Linked DNA regions of Oryctolagus cuniculus. The protein of the gene in region 1 interacts with the protein of each later gene in a biochemical or structural test. Links are inferred from orthologs where the notes say so. Each region holds a gene or a part of one and is shown in the gene's direction. Other genes may lie near its edges.

Region 1 (4,774 bases):
CTTAGGATGGCGGGAAACGCAGTGTGATCCGCTTAACGCTGCTGCAGCTGCTTCCTAACTTTGCCTCTTTTCTTCCTTTGACTTTTGGAGGAGCGGGGTGGGGGAGAGGAGCCAGGGGTCCCAGGCCGCCAGCTGTCTTCCCACTGACCCGTATTCCCAGCCCCAACGCCAGTTCGAGGAAGTGAGGCCCGGTGGTGGCCAGCGTAACTCCCCCTTTGTCTCTCCCTCCTCCCTCGCCCGCCACTGCCTCCTCTGCCCGTCCCTGGGGTGGCTGCAGCCCAGCCCTGGGGAGCCCCTGTGGAAGTGGAGTCCTTGCTGGTCCACCCGGGTGACCTGCTGCAGCTTCGCTGTCGGCTGCGGGACGATGTGCAGAGCATCAACTGGCTGCGGGACGGGGTGCAGCTGGCAGAAAGCAACCGCACGCGCATCACGGGCGAGGAGGTGGAGGTGCGGGACTCCGTGCCCGCCGACTCCGGCCTCTACGCATGCGTGACCAGCAGCCCCTCGGGCAGCGACACCACCTACTTCTCCGTCAACGTCTCAGGTTGGTAGCAAAGCCCCGCCCTCACGCTCTCCCCGCACCTACCCCCTCCGGCCCACTGTTTCCGAGGGAGCGAGCCTCTGCCCCACGCTCTGCTTCCGATCCGCTGCCCACTAACATTGCTCCCTGCCCGCCGCGTGGCTTGGCTCTCAGAGGGATGGTCAGGTGGAGCAGGCCTCAGCCAGAGATGCCCTCGGGGCGTTAAGGCCCTGCGGTTTTGCCACCACAGCGTGGCCCAGAGCTCCATCCTGCCACTGTCAGTCGGTCCGGTGGGTCTTGGTACTCTAACAGAGGAGTTAGAGCCCCAGACATTGTGGCGGAGGTCCCTGCTGTGATGATGGGGAGAATCCGGCGGGGCTGCACCGCCTCGCCTGCCCGCCCGCAGGCTCTCCAGGAAGCAAGCGCCTGGCCTCTAGCTTTGGAGCCATGAGGGCAGCCAGGGAACCCCAGAGCTCTGTGACTTTGGGAATCTGCCAGTTTTGGAAAGCGACTGTGATTGCAGGAAGTGAGCTGAAATGTTCTAGAAGCTATTTGTGCAGCCCAGGGAGGCGGGCCAGGTGTGCAGCCCGTAAGCCTCCCCTTAGGTGTCACTTTGAACATGCCCCCATCTTCCCTCTCCCCCACCCTGAAAGTGCGGGGCAGGCTTGGGAAAAGACCTGCCTTGAACCCTGATTGGTGACCACGTGTTTGTGGAGCCTGTTCTGACAAGGGGTGGATGCTTGGTGGGCAGAGGTGTCGGCAGCTGCAGGCCGGGTGCTGGGGGCGGTGCCCAAGCCTGAGCAGGTGACACACAGGAAAAATTCGGACTGCAGGTGTCGGGACCCTGACTTTGAAACTAATTGCTGCTCTTTTTATTTAAAAACATTTGTTTATATGAAAAGCAGAGTTACAGAGAGAGAGTTAGAGACAGGCCAGAAACTCCATCCAGGTCTCCCACGTGGGTGGTAGGGGCCCAGCCCAGGCACTCAGTCCCTCTGCTGCTGCTCTTCCAGACGCATTAGCAGGGTCCTGAGTGAGAAGTGGAGCAGTCGGGACTTGAACCTGCGCTCATATGGGCTGCCAGCATCACAGGTGGCAGCTTAACCAGCTGCGCCGTGTCCGTCCCTGCAGCTAGCGTCTAGCTCCACTGTGTCTCCATCAGCCTGTGTGGCCCAGTGATTGGCAGCACAAAGAAGGACACAGGTTTCCCAGGTTGTGGTTCTGAGACCCGGGGTACTGTGAGTTAAGGGGGGAAGGGTGGAGTCCAACAAAAGAGGACCCCACTGGGGAGAGAAGGGCCAGGCACAGGAGCAGGCAGTTCTGGAACGCCGAGGGAGAGTGGCCGTGGGAATCCATATGGGAGGGCAGTCAGTGTTGGTCCGTATCGGTAGCAGTCTCAGTGGGGTGACCGCTGATAGGCATGGAGATCCAGAGCTGTGTCAGAGGGGACCTCAGTGCGCTGCTTCTTCCCGTAGATGCGCTCCCCTCGTCGGAGGACGACGACGACGATGATGACTCCTCTTCGGAGGAGAAAGAGACAGATAACACCAAACCAAACCGTATGCGTGAGACACTGTTTCCTATCTTACGGGCCTGGGAGTTTCGTTGGAGAGGGAAGGGAAAGGCTTGGCTGAAACTGGAGGAGGAGGAGGAGGAGGAGGAGGAGGAGGAGGAAGGAGGGGCACGTGGGGTCCTGGTGCCTGACTGCAGCCCCTGGAGTGTCCCTTGATGCTGGATGGTGGCAAACAGGTGCTGGGCAGATGGGCGAGGCAGCTCCCGCTCCTGCCTGGGCCCTTGCTCGGAACCTGACCAGCCCCCTCGTTTCTTGGCTCTCCCCGGGCAGCCGTAGCGCCGTACTGGACATCCCCTGAAAAGATGGAAAAGAAACTGCACGCCGTACCGGCTGCCAAGACCGTGAAGTTCAAGTGCCCTTCCAGCGGGACACCGAACCCCACGCTGCGCTGGCTGAAAAATGGCAAAGAGTTCAAACCTGACCACAGGATTGGAGGCTACAAGGTTAGTACACATAGATATGAAGGGAGAGGAGGAGGGATGGGACAAGGGAGTTAGAAAATCCTCCCTCAGCCGGCGCCGTGGCTCAATAGGCTAATCCTCCACCTTGCGGCGCCGGCACACCGGGTTCTAGTCCCGGTTGGGGCGCCGGATTCTGTCCCGGTTGCCCCTCTTCCAGGCCAGCTCTCTGCTATGGCCAGGGAGTGCAGTGGAGGATGGCCCAGGTGCTTGGGCCCTGCACCCCATGGGAGACCAGGAAAAAGCACCTGGCTCCTGGCTCCTGCCAGGATCAGCGCGGTGCGCCGGCTGCAGCGGCGGCCATTGGAGGGTGAACCAGCGGCAAAAGGAAGACCTTTCTCTCTCTGTCTCTCTCTCTCACTGTCCACTCTGCCTGTCAAAAAAAAAAAAAAAAAAAAAAGAAAATCCTCCCTCATATGCCTCTGTTTTAAATAGTAGTGCTTTCTAACTAATGCATTTAAAAAGTTTTTAAACACATAGGGCTGGTGTTGTGGTGCAGCCAGTTAAGTTGCCACTCGTGATGCCAGCATTCCATATGAGAACACCTGTTCGAGTCCCAGCTGCTCCACTTCCAATTCAGTTCCCTGCTAATGTGCCTGGGAAAGCAGTGAATGATGGCACCCATATCAGAGTGCCAAGTGCTAAGCACTTGGGCCATCTTCTACTGCTTTCCCAGGCCATGGCCGAGAGCTCGATCAGAAGTGGAGCAGCCGGGACTCGAACCGGTGCCCATATGGGATTCTGGCACTGCAGGCAGTGGCTTTACCTGCTATGCTGGTAAAGCACCGGCCCCGGGCCAAACTCTTAACAGGAGCCAGGCACAGAGGCACAGGGTTGAGAATATTCCTGGTATAATTTGGGAGAGTTTGCAGAAGACAGCTTGGTTAGACCATGGCTGGCCTTGAGCACCACGGGGAAGACTTCTAAGGCTCACGCTCATCTGCCAGTTTAATGGACGTGCTCGTTTGAGTGGACCTGGGCTGAGCACCACGTACTCTGTTCCTCCTCCCAGCTACTCTGCAGTTCTGATGGGGGAGCTGAGAGAGGCAGTCCCACAGGCACCAACACGGCCCCATGGCCTCTGCCTGCATTTTCCTCCAGACCCTCAGTGGAGCCCTTTGCCTGTTCCCCACAGGTCCGCTATGCCACCTGGAGCATCATCATGGACTCCGTGGTTCCCTCCGATAAGGGCAACTACACTTGCATTGTGGAGAACGAGTACGGCAGCATCAACCACACCTACCAACTGGACGTCGTGGGTAAGAGGTGGTGGCGCAGACCTAAGGTGCTTAGGGTATGGAGCGGGCATCAGGGACTCCCGGGATGGCGTCAGGATTGCACTTGCCTTGTCACCTTGAGCGGGTCAGCTCCTCCGTTTGCACTTTACTTTTCCCTATCTGCAAACCAAAGAGCATTAGGTGAGAATGTGTCCCAAAGCCAATGTCGCCATGAACTGGAAAGCACTGTTGACAGTCTACCCTGAAAGACGTGACTGGTTGTTGGGCTGTTACAGGGAGTGCAGTGGTAGCTGTGGCTTGATGAAGGCTCTTGCAAATCTGCTGTCATCCCCACCAGGCAGGCACGCGCCCACTGTACCTGCTGAGGCTCAGAGGTCAGGTGCCTGTGGAATTCCAGGCCCCTGCCGGCTGCTGGATGAGCACCATGCTTCTCAGGGCTGCTCCTGCAGCCGGTCCTAGAGCAGGGGTGGGAACGTCCAGCCCGCAGGCTGTACGAGGCCCACAAAATCACCTTGTCTGGCCCTGCCAGGGCAATCCCAGACGGGACTTTGAAATTCAGTACATGTATAGCAGGCTGATTGTTAAGTTGGATCATTTTATATGGTCCACGAACGACGTTATAAATATCCAAGTGGCCCTTGGCAGAAACAGAGGCTTCCCATCCCCGTTCTGGAGGTAGAGTCCAGCACGCTGGAGATGGAGAGGCCCAGGGACTCTCCGCCAGCCTCCCATCTTGGTGCTGGCCACGTGGTCTCAGCAGGGGGATGGGGTCCAGGCTCTGAGATCCTGCCTTTCTGACTCTCTCTCTCCCAGTTGGCACTGGTGCTGCTGTCCCTGGGCCACACTTTGAACAGCAGTGGTCTCGGCAGCTCTCTGGGAAGCACGTTGTGCTGGGATCTCAGGGTGTTAAGTCCTTTAAGCTACAGGAGACTTATTACTGTGCATAAGTATGGAGCGTGGCCTCGAGGAGGAGTTCCCATGGAGC
Region 2 (4,801 bases), on another chromosome or scaffold:
AGAGAGCCCAGGCGGAGAGAGAAGAGGACTTGCGCAAGAGCATGGTGAGTGAGGAGGAGGCGCCAGGGCTCCTGCACCCTGGCCGAGACGGGGGCTCAGCGGCCGAGACGGGGGCTCAGCGGCCGGAGCTGTGAGCTGGCGACCCCGAGAGGCCAGGCCTTGGCAGGTGCAGCTCAGACCAGCTGCAGGCCCAGAGAGCAGCAAAAGGCCTCGCTGGGTGGGTTGGGGGTGAGGGGTCTGGAGACTGGGGGTTCTGGTGTGAGTGCCCACCCCACCCCCGGGCCTCTGGGCAGAGACCTCAGGCCTCTCAGGTCCCTGCCAGGGATGGGGGGGTCTGACTCATGCTCATCGCTGTGGCGGGGACAGTGTGGGAGGTGGCCTGGGTCAGCTCCAATCACAGTGCTGGTGACAGCAAGGGGTGGGGTGGACTCCAGGCCCCCTGCGGCTGTGGCTGGGCGGGGTCTGCTGGGAGGCCTCAGGCCAGCTCCTCAGGTACCAGAGAACAGCGATTTTCACACCTGGGGGAGCCGCGCCCATCGCACCCTCAGGGAGGGGGAGGGGAGCCTCGGAAAGGCTGGCCGGGTCCCTGCTGGCTGCACTGCTGTCCTGCACTGTTCCTGCTTCGGAATCCGGGCGGGAGGTGGGTGTCCACCGAGACTGGCTCCTGCTGCCTCTCCCTGCGCGGAGGTGGGCGTGTGCAGGGAGTGGGGGGCCGTGGCCGCCCCTGGGCGCCTGCCAGACACCCTGACTTCCCTTGGCAGCCCCCACACCACGGAACCCCACCCCTGGAGGTCCACCCCTGCCCGGCCAGACCAGCGCGGCTGCTTGCTGGAGCCACCCCTTCCCCAGAGGCCCGTCCCTGAGGCGCCAGCAAACACACAGCAAAATAAAAAACTGGGTTCCCGGGAAGCCCCCAAAACGTGCAGTGCTGGCAGAGGGTGCGCGAGTTGGGGACCCGCCCGGGGCACCCGAGCCGAGGCCGGGACAGGCAGCGACAAGGTGCCAAAGGCAGAACCTGGGCGTCGGAAAAGCAGAAGCCCAGGAGATGCGAGGGGCGGGACGCACAGCGCAGGGGGCCGGGCGGAGCCAAGGGTGGGGGCCGGGGTCCCTCCAGGTGGCACTCGCGGCGCTCGTCCCCGGCCACCTCCCCTCCCCCGGCGCTGATTGGCAGGAGGCCTGCGACCGGCCGCGAGCGCCACAGCGCCCCGGGCGCCCAGCGAACGCGGACGGCCCCCCGCGGGCGCGGGCGGGCGGGCGGGAGGGGGGCGCCGGGCTATATAAGTAGCGGCTGGCGCCCAGGCCCGCCGAGCGCACACAGAGGCGCGCACCGCTGCGCCGGGTCCCAGCCCGGGCCGCGCGTCCCTCCGCAGCCGCCCGCCGTTCTATGCAGCCGAGGTAGCGCCCGGCGTCTGGAGGCCCCGTCGCTCGCCGCCACCGCTCCGCGTCGCGGCCCAGATCCCGCGCTCCCGCGGGGCGTCACAAGCGCGCCTCGGCCCCGCGGCTGCCCCGGCGCGCGCACCCCCGGACGGACGCACGGCCCGCGGGCCGGCATGGCGGGGCCCGGGACGGCCGCGGCGGCGCTGCTCCCGGCGGTCCTGCTGGCCCTGCTGGCGCCCTGGGCGGGCCGCGGGGCCGCCGCCGCGCCCGCCGCACCCAACGGCACGCGGGAGGCCGAGCTGGAGCGCCGCTGGGAGAGCCTGGTGGCGCGCTCGCTGGCGCGCCTGCCCGTGGCCGTGCAGCCCAAGGAGGTGACGGTGCAGAGTGGCGCCGGCGACTACCTGCTGGGGATCAAGCGCCTGCGGCGGCTTTACTGCAACGTGGGCATCGGCTTCCACCTCCAGGTGCTCCCCGACGGCCGCATCGGCGGCGTGCACGCAGACACGAGCGACAGTGAGTGGGGCCGGCCGGGCGGGAAGGGTCGGGGCCGCCCCTTCCGACTCTCGCCGGCGCTCTGGAGGCTCCGGCCGGGCACCTGCCGGTTGGCTTCCGAGAGCCGGTCAGGCTCGGACTCCGGTCCCCGCCTCCCCAGGACCGGGGCGCACGCCTGGCTCCGCCTCTCCGCCCTCGGAAGCCCGGGCTCCGGGTGCCGAATTCCAGCCCCTTCACCCCGTGGGCACGGAGCGCGCGGCGCGGCCGCTGGCGCCCGCGGGGGCCCGGGACACGCGCCCAGGCTGGAGCCGGCCTCAGGGGCCGCCGTGGCCTCAGGGGGAAGCTTCGCTCCTGCGGTCCCGGGATGGGCGCGGGTGCGGCGGGCCCCCGACTCCCGCGAGCGGGTCCGGCCTGTGCACGCACGGACCCTGGAGGTCCTTTGGGGACGTGGGGGGGGGGGGCAGCCTGCACCAGAGGATCCCATCCCCACCCGGGAAATTGGGTTCCCGGAGGTGTGCCAACCTGGGGGCTATGTGGGCCAAGGGTCACCTGCCCCCAAATGACGCGCGCCCCTCCCCCAGGCCTGCTGGAGCTCTCGCCCGTGGAGCGGGGCGTGGTGAGCATCTTTGGCGTGGCCAGCCGGTTCTTCGTGGCCATGAGCAGCAAGGGAAAACTATACGGCTCTGTGAGTACCACGGGGGCTCGGCCCCTCCTGGCCCACCTGTGCGGGCTGCCAACCATGGCAGTGGGATCTCTAGCCCCTCAACGTGCCCAGGGACAGGCAGGCATAGCAGCAGCCCCAAGAGAGGAACCCCCCACCCCGTCCCGCCGTCCAGGAGTGGGCGGTGAAGGGTCCCTGGAGCCCCCCTCCCTGGGGGCGGGGAGGTCCTAGCCAGCAGGCTGGCGGCTGAGTGTGAAATTCTCTGGCTGCGAGGTACCTGGCAGGTGGCGCAGGCACCAGCTGTCACACACGGACCGGCCATGTGCGGCTCCTCCTTGTGAGGGTCTGGGCTCCCTGACCGCCCAGGAGAGACCCTGTCAGCACAGAGCCGGCCCTGTGGTCACCTGTGCCCTCCCCTCCCCGCCCCAGTCCCTTCCCCGGGAGATGGCTGCAGCTCATGGCAGCCTTCTCCCCCCTCTGCCCCCAGCCGTTCTTCACTGAGCAGTGCAAGTTCAAGGAGATCCTGCTACCGAACAACTACAACGCCTACGAGTCCCACAGGTACCCCGGTATGTTCATCGCCCTGAGCAAGAACGGAAAGACCAAGAAGGGGAACCGGGTGTCGCCCACCATGAAGGTCACCCACTTCCTCCCCAGGCTGTGACCCCCCCCCCCGGGGAGGGCAGTCCTGAAGGCTGTCTTGTGCACTTTCTTTGGTTGGAGAGTTGGACGAACACAGGAGCGGGTGTAAGATATTTAACTTAATTATTTAAATGTGTATATATGGCCACCAAATTATTTATAGTTCTGTGGGTGTGTTTTGTATTTTTTTCTGGAAAGAAAAGAAAAAGGACAAAAAAAAAAAGACAACAACGGAAAGCGACTGTGCCTGTTTTGGTGCAACAGTGGAGAATCTGGAGAATCTGTCCGTCGGGTCGTCGTCGCGAATGTGCTGCTACCGGGTTCCAGCCTGGACTCTGCTTCGCGCCGGCCCCTGGAGTGCGGTGGCCAGCGTCCCTCGTCGTGGAAGGGGCCTGCCCCGGTTCCGGAGTGCCCGGCCCCTGGCCGCCTCGGCCAGCCACGGCCAGCGGCCCCCTCTCTGCCCCGCGCCCCGGGGCCGCGCGTCGTGGGGGAGGTGCCGCTCACTGCAGGCTGCTGAGCCGGTTTTAGATCTGCGAGACTGACCTTTGAACTTTCCTGTAGTCAATCTTCCTCGACCTACCAGATGGGTGAGAGACCCCAAGACGACTTTGTAAACTCCCGGCTTCCTTTTTTTGGATCAGCCCCGGCCCGCATTGCTGTAGCCGGCCCGCATTGCTGTGGCCCGCATTGCTGTGGCCGGCGGGGTGGGACAAAGACAAGCTCGGGGGTCTCTGCGAGCCGGAGCCGAGACGCTGGCGAGGAGGCAGCGTGCGACCCCAGACACGCGCTCGGGGTAACCTCTCAGAGAATGTATTCTTTTTTTTTTTTTTTTTTTTGAGCCAGGCTTCCCTCTGCGTGGGGAGCGTAAGCCTAGGGGTAGCTGTTCTTTTTAATGGCGTGTCCGTGTGGCTGCACGGTGGACGCGGAGTGTGCGTGGAGACTGCTGCGTTCCCTGGACCGGTCCAGGTGACATCTACCTCACGAACCCCCAGAGCGCTCAGAGCCCGGGCCGCCCGGCGTGCTGTCTCTCCTGCCGTCCGTAGCCCGGCGGACTGCCGAGAGCAGCGTCGGTGCGCCCCGCTGGAACCCTGTCCCGTTCGAGCTATCTTTACCCCAGCTTCTCTTTTAGTACGAGTAATCATGGTGAAAATATTCACAGACAGCTGCAGGAGCCAGTGCGTGGCCACCAAGTAACCTTATATTTCTCTTTATATATTTTACAAATGTCACCCCTGTCGCTGGAGCGGAGATGGAAGAGGCAGAGTCGGTCGGTGATGTTTAAAAAAAGTCCCGAGGTGCTGGGCGACGTTTAATTTTAATGAATGACTTCGGAGAGTTTGTACAAAATGACCTTCGCCGGCCACTGGGGATGCTCCGAATTCTGAGCCCTCTCCCGAATTAACTTTATGGGAGTCCACAGACAGCGAGGCTGCAAAGTCTGATTGGAGTTTTTGTCTTTCACATTCCTTTTAAACACGCTTTCTTCGCATGCAAATGATCTACTTAAAATCTGCTGGGCGGCGGGGCCCCTGGGGGAGCCGCCGAGGTGGGGCCACGCCGGCCGCCGAGGTCCGTGACGTCGCAATGTGATGCCTTTATATTTTCATTTGATTTCTAAAGCGTGCCCTG
Region 3 (5,213 bases), on another chromosome or scaffold:
AGCTGGGTCAGCTCCTGCCCGCACACTGTGCTCAAACCCGTGTCTACTGCCCCTGCCGCCACCCACACAGCCCTCCCCATCAGTGCTGATGAAGACCTCAGGTGTAAGGGAAGAAGCCTAGATTTTAAGCTAGAGTTCATTTCCTGCGTGGCCCTTGTTAAGTTATTTCACTTTCATGGGGCCCGTGTTGTGTGCAGTGCATTAAACTCCAGTCTACAATGCTGGTATCCCCTACGAGTGCCGGTTCAAGTCCTGGCTGCTCTACTTCCCATCCAGGACCCTGCTAATGTGCCTGGAAGGCAGTAGATGATGACCCAAGTGCTTGAGCCCCTGACACTCACATGGGAGACCAGGATGGAGTTCTGGGCTCCTGGCTTCTGCCCAACCCAGCCACAGTTATTGCAGCCATTTGGGGGATGAACCAGTGTACGGAAGATCCATCTCTCTGTCTCTCTCTTGCTCCCTCCCTCTGTAACCCTGCCTTTCAAATAAATAAATTAATCCTTTAAAAGAATCATTTTGCCTTCAGAAACATAATTCCTTCTTTCTTACATTTGCATAGCAATTGGTAGATGAGGCTTTTTTGGTAGCTTTTTGAAAAAGGGATTTGTTGCATCAGTTAGACATGTAATCTATTTAAAAGCAATACGGGAGAAGAAAATTGAGTGTAGGCAAAACTTGTTAGCTGCAGTGTTTTTGCTACTTTCTGTCTGTAATATCAGCCTGGCATATGCAGAAAATACCAGGCACGTCAAAGGTCTCTGGGAAGGATCTTTAAAGAAACGCGTCATTTTGTGCTACTGAAATAATCCCACGATGTACTCCTGGATGGAGTGAGCTAAACCCACTCGGCGGAGCAGCCCGGAAATCGACACGCTGATTCTAGGGATGATCACGCACATACCTCCAATTTCCGACCTGGCTGTGTGCAAGCTGTGGTAACGTGGGCAAGACACTCACCATCCCTAAGCCCTAGCCTCCTCCCTTGTATGATGGGAATAACACAGGGCACAGCCCAAGGAGGAGCGCAGGTAGGGGAGTTATCAGTGAGCTATTCAAGTCCAGATACAACATCCCCCCTGTGGGGTGACTGCCTTAACCAGGATGGTGAGCAGGTGGACTGGGCCCAGCCTTCCCGCCCTCCGTAACCCGAAGACGCCTCAGAGCGGCCCCCAACCAGAATCTCCATGCCCTCCTGCAAAAGGGCTTGCGTTCTCAGCTCCCTCCTCACCACGAGCTCTTTCCATGAAAAGTCTCCCAGACACTTGTAGGCTACTGTCACCGTCTGCCTCCACGCCTTCTCTCATCCCTGTCTTTACCGTTTGCCCTCTAAATAAGGAAGTTGGCACTGCCAGCCCAAGAACTCTTGCCCAATTTGGGTCCTGGGTGGCCTCTCGCCTCCCTCTTCCCCCTGGGCCCCCAGCCAGCTGCCCCTCCCCCCACAGAGATGCTCCCTGCTAACCTCATTCCTGCCTCATAGTTGGAATGACAGTGGCTCCCAGAATCCCTGGGGAGTGGGGAGGGCGATGGGGGTCTGGGGAGGCAGCCAGGCCCAGGGGCAGGTTAATGTTACAGGGCTGGGCAAGGGACCTGGGCCGGCTGGCGTCAGGGTGCTGATGGGTGCAGGGGAGGGCCGGGCTGCCGAGCTATAAAGATAGATCAAATCCAATATAATCAGCTCGGGACACAACAAGCAGGCCACCTAGAGAGCGTCCCCAAGCCATGGTCCCTACCGGCCGCGGCTCAGCTCCGGTCCCGAGGCTCTCAGCCCGAGTGCCCGGAGCAGGCTTTGGTTTCGTGTCAGCAGCCTTCATCTGCCTTCCAAAAATAAGCCCCTGCCGCCATGCTGAGGGGAGAAAAACAAGAAGGGGGGTATTTTTAGGGCCATTAATTCTGACCACGTGCCTGAGAGGCAAGGTGGATGGCGCGGGGACAGAGGCTGTTCATCACTATGTCCCGGGGAGCAGGACGGCCTCAGGGCACGCTGCGGGCTCTCGTCTTCCTCGGCGTCCTAGTGGGTATGGTGGTGCCCTCGCCGGCCGGCACTCGCGCCAACAGCACGCTGCTGGCCTCCAGAGGCTGGGGCGCCCTGCTGTCCAGGTCCCGCGCTGGGCTGGCCGGAGAGATCGCCGGGGTGAATTGGGAGAGTGGCTATCTGGTGGGCATCAAGCGGCAGCGGAGGCTCTACTGCAACGTGGGCATCGGCTTTCACCTCCAGGTGCCTCCCGACGGCCGGGTCAGTGGAGTCCACGAGGAGAGTCCCTACAGTGAGTGCCCTTGCAGCCCACGGGGACGCGGGGGGCTCAGGCTGGAGCACGGCCGACAGACCTGGGGGCCTTGCTGTGGTGGGGGGGATGTTACCCCTCGAATGGCTCCTTCTGATTCTGCCTGGACGCAGATTACATGGGGTCGGGCCCAAGTATCCAGGTGTCCTGTGGGGTCCATCGGAGTCCTGGTAAGAACCATCAGCTGTGGATGCCGCAAGCTGGGGTGGGGAGGATGAATCTGGACCCTTGGACCAAATTAGACACCGGCTTATTTTTACTCAGGAGAAGGAAAGGCAAGCTGCAAAGTTTCTGGCTGAAGCACACCCTTCGTTTTCTTTCAGCCTGCTTGCTCGGTCCCCAGGTCTTTAATTTGAAGTCGAGAGGTTGCTGCATGGATGGTCTCCTACCCCGGGGGGGAGCATGGGGGCTGCAGGACCCTCGCCAGTGTTTGTGAGCTTAGAGGGGGCGAGATTGGTTGATGCATGTGAGCTGGACGTTAAATGATAATGATAATAAACAGGAAATGTGTGGTTTTGCCCACAACAAGGACCTGCCTGATTACGGCAGGGAAATCTCAGATTTAAAACCCACCTCAACTAGACGCAGAGGGGTGTGCAGAGCTTCTCCCTGCAGAACTGAACCTGTAACGGTGTCGTGGCAGGACTCGCACCCAGGATTCCTAAAGCTAGAGGGATGGAGGACACAGGTGGCGAGCGTCTGACTTTCTAGGAGCAAGGGGGGCGGACGTAGTCGCTCCTGGCAGGCTGATCCGCACACGCCCCGGGTAACGTGCTCCCCATCTCTTTGTCAGGCCTGCTGGAAATTTCCACAGTGGAGCGAGGCGTGGTGAGTCTCTTTGGAGTGAAAAGCGCCCTCTTCATTGCCATGAATAGTAAAGGAAGACTGTACACGACGGTGAGTTCACCGGGCAGGGGGATGCGCCAGCGTAGGGGAGGCCTGGCCTTGCCCCATTGAAGAAAAGAACACAGAATCCCAAGTTGAGGAGGGAATCGTTATCTCAGATGAGGAAAGCAGGAGCCGTGCAAGGAGCCTGAGCCTTGAAGCTTCCATCTGGTCAGCCTTGGCCTTGGGCCGTGATTTTTCTGACCCCACATGCCAGGGCCTCTGCAATGAATCAGAAAGCACAGCTCAGGGAGCTCTGGGTTGCAGGGAAGCCTTGGTGCTGGTGTGAGGCTGTTCCCCGGGGCACAGGTGGGGCTGGTTCCCTGCACCTCCATACGTGCTGAGCTCGGAAGTCCCCTGATGCACCTCCCTGTCGGGCTCTCTGGGCAGCCCCGGTCCAGCTGTCCCTGCACCACCTGGGTCACACCCAGGAAGGCACACACTGGCCCCTGGGTTCACGTAGCCACCCACCATACACATTTGCCAAAGCCTCTGGCTTCTGAGCCACTCATGCCCAGGGTTCTGCAGTCTGAGATTTGGCGTATTCCAGAAACATGGGCTGGGAAGACATCCCTGCAAAGCTGAAGAATCTGTGAGTACAGAAATAAGGAGGCTAAAAAGGACAGCCCCAGAACAATCCTCAAGGAATACCAAGCAGAGTTATTTATGGGAAGGGCGTGGAGGGCAAACTGACAATCGGGGACTGAACAAATAGTTCTGGGATGGGTGTCGGGCTCCAGGCACTGATCTCAACAGAGGAGGGTCAAGAAACGTGTGAATGGTTGACCAGGTGGCCCGTCATCCTAGGGCTAGCATCTCTGGTTGATTTGCATGAATATGTAGTATGGAGGAAAGTCAGTGGACCTGCCATGCAGTTCTGTGGACAGTCTGCATCCATATCACTTTGGTAATCTGTGGAAGTACAGGTATCCCGGGACCTTCCTCAGATACCCTGACTCAGTAGGGCTGGGATTAGTTTAGAAATGTCTGCTTTTTTTCTCTAAACATTTATTTTATTCACTTGAAATGCAGAGTTAAGGGTGGGTAGGGGGAGGGAGAGACAGAGAAACAGACAGAGAGAGAGAGCTCCCACCTGCTGGTTCACTGCCCAAATGGCCCCAGCAGCTAGGCTGGGCCAGGCTAAGGTCAGGAGCCCAAGTCTCCCATGTGTGTGCAGGGGCCTGAGCACTTGGGCCATCTTCTGCTGCTTTCCCAGGCCATTAGCAAGGAGCTGAATCTCAAGTGCAACAGCCAGGATTCGAACCAGCTCCCATATGGGATACCGGCACTGCAGGCGGCAGCTTTACCAGCTATGCTATAATGCTGGCCCCAAGTGTCACTTTTGTTTTTAAATGTCTCTTGTGTTTTGGGACACAGGCAGGCTTGGGGACCACCTGGAAACAGGACTTCTGGGGGGCAAGGAATCATCTCGCCCCCGGGGTACACCTGCCTCCGTGGTACACCTGCCCAGAGATGAAACCTAGCCTGTCACTTGGAGTTCTCAGACACCCTTTTGACCACTCTGGAAAGGCGATGAGATGGTCAGGAAGCAGCAGGGTCCAGCCCAGGCTTTGGGGGTGCAGGGACCACCCTCTTGGCAGTGACTCCTTCCACAGGGCCCCTTCTCAGCCGCCTGTGCAGCGCCAGGAATTGCCCATAACTGGTGGGCTGAGAACTTGGTTTTTGCCTACAGGACTCCATTCAGTGGGCTTGTAGCAGAGACATTTCTCGGAGGGAAACACAATTACATAACCTCTTCTCCAATGCGAGGTTTAATGGGTAGAGAAAGCAACCAGAGGGCAAAAAGCAGAACAGCAAAGAGGAAAGGAGCCATCCTTGGAGTGTGAGCTGCGTGGACGCCCACCAGACACGGGCCTGGCGCTCTGCTGTGTTGCTGGGCTGATGCTAGCAGGGTCAAGTGGGCAGATGAGTTCAGGGCTCCTTAAATGGACAGAGTCCAGGAGAAACAGGGGGAGGGAGAGGAGGAGGGGGAGGGCTTTTCCAAAAAGAAGCCCCCTTCCCACCCGCACCCTCCTTCCCCTC

What was found. The genes of interacting proteins can lie anywhere in the genome.
Region 2: the proteins of FGFR1 (region 1) and FGF4 form a complex in vitro, tested with the Homo sapiens proteins (2 studies listed by BioGRID and IntAct, with this or other methods). The link is inferred for Oryctolagus cuniculus from reciprocal best matches to the Homo sapiens genes FGFR1 and FGF4.
Region 3: the proteins of FGFR1 (region 1) and FGF6 interact in a biophysical measurement, tested with the Homo sapiens proteins (2 studies listed by BioGRID and IntAct, with this or other methods). The link is inferred for Oryctolagus cuniculus from reciprocal best matches to the Homo sapiens genes FGFR1 and FGF6.

Annotation. Positions count from the first base shown.
Region 1 is NC_091433.1:88,163,472-88,168,245, reverse strand, and holds part of FGFR1 (fibroblast growth factor receptor 1), read left to right. Parts: intron 1-277; coding exon 278-544; intron 545-1,995; coding exon 1,996-2,085; intron 2,086-2,363; coding exon 2,364-2,536; intron 2,537-3,686; coding exon 3,687-3,810; intron 3,811-4,774. UniProt on the Homo sapiens protein: Tyrosine-protein kinase that acts as a cell-surface receptor for fibroblast growth factors and plays an essential role in the regulation of embryonic development, cell proliferation, differentiation and migration.
Region 2 is NC_091432.1:3,167,266-3,172,066, forward strand, and holds FGF4 (fibroblast growth factor 4), read left to right. Parts: upstream 1-1,550; coding exon 1,551-1,890; intron 1,891-2,450; coding exon 2,451-2,554; intron 2,555-3,017; coding exon 3,018-3,194; 3' UTR 3,195-3,404; downstream 3,405-4,801. UniProt on the Homo sapiens protein: Plays an important role in the regulation of embryonic development, cell proliferation, and cell differentiation. Required for normal limb and cardiac valve development during embryogenesis.
Region 3 is NC_091440.1:105,004,327-105,009,539, forward strand, and holds the start of FGF6 (fibroblast growth factor 6), read left to right. Parts: upstream 1-1,516; 5' UTR 1,517-1,921; coding exon 1,922-2,267; intron 2,268-3,078; coding exon 3,079-3,182; intron 3,183-5,213. UniProt on the Homo sapiens protein: Plays an important role in the regulation of cell proliferation, cell differentiation, angiogenesis and myogenesis, and is required for normal muscle regeneration.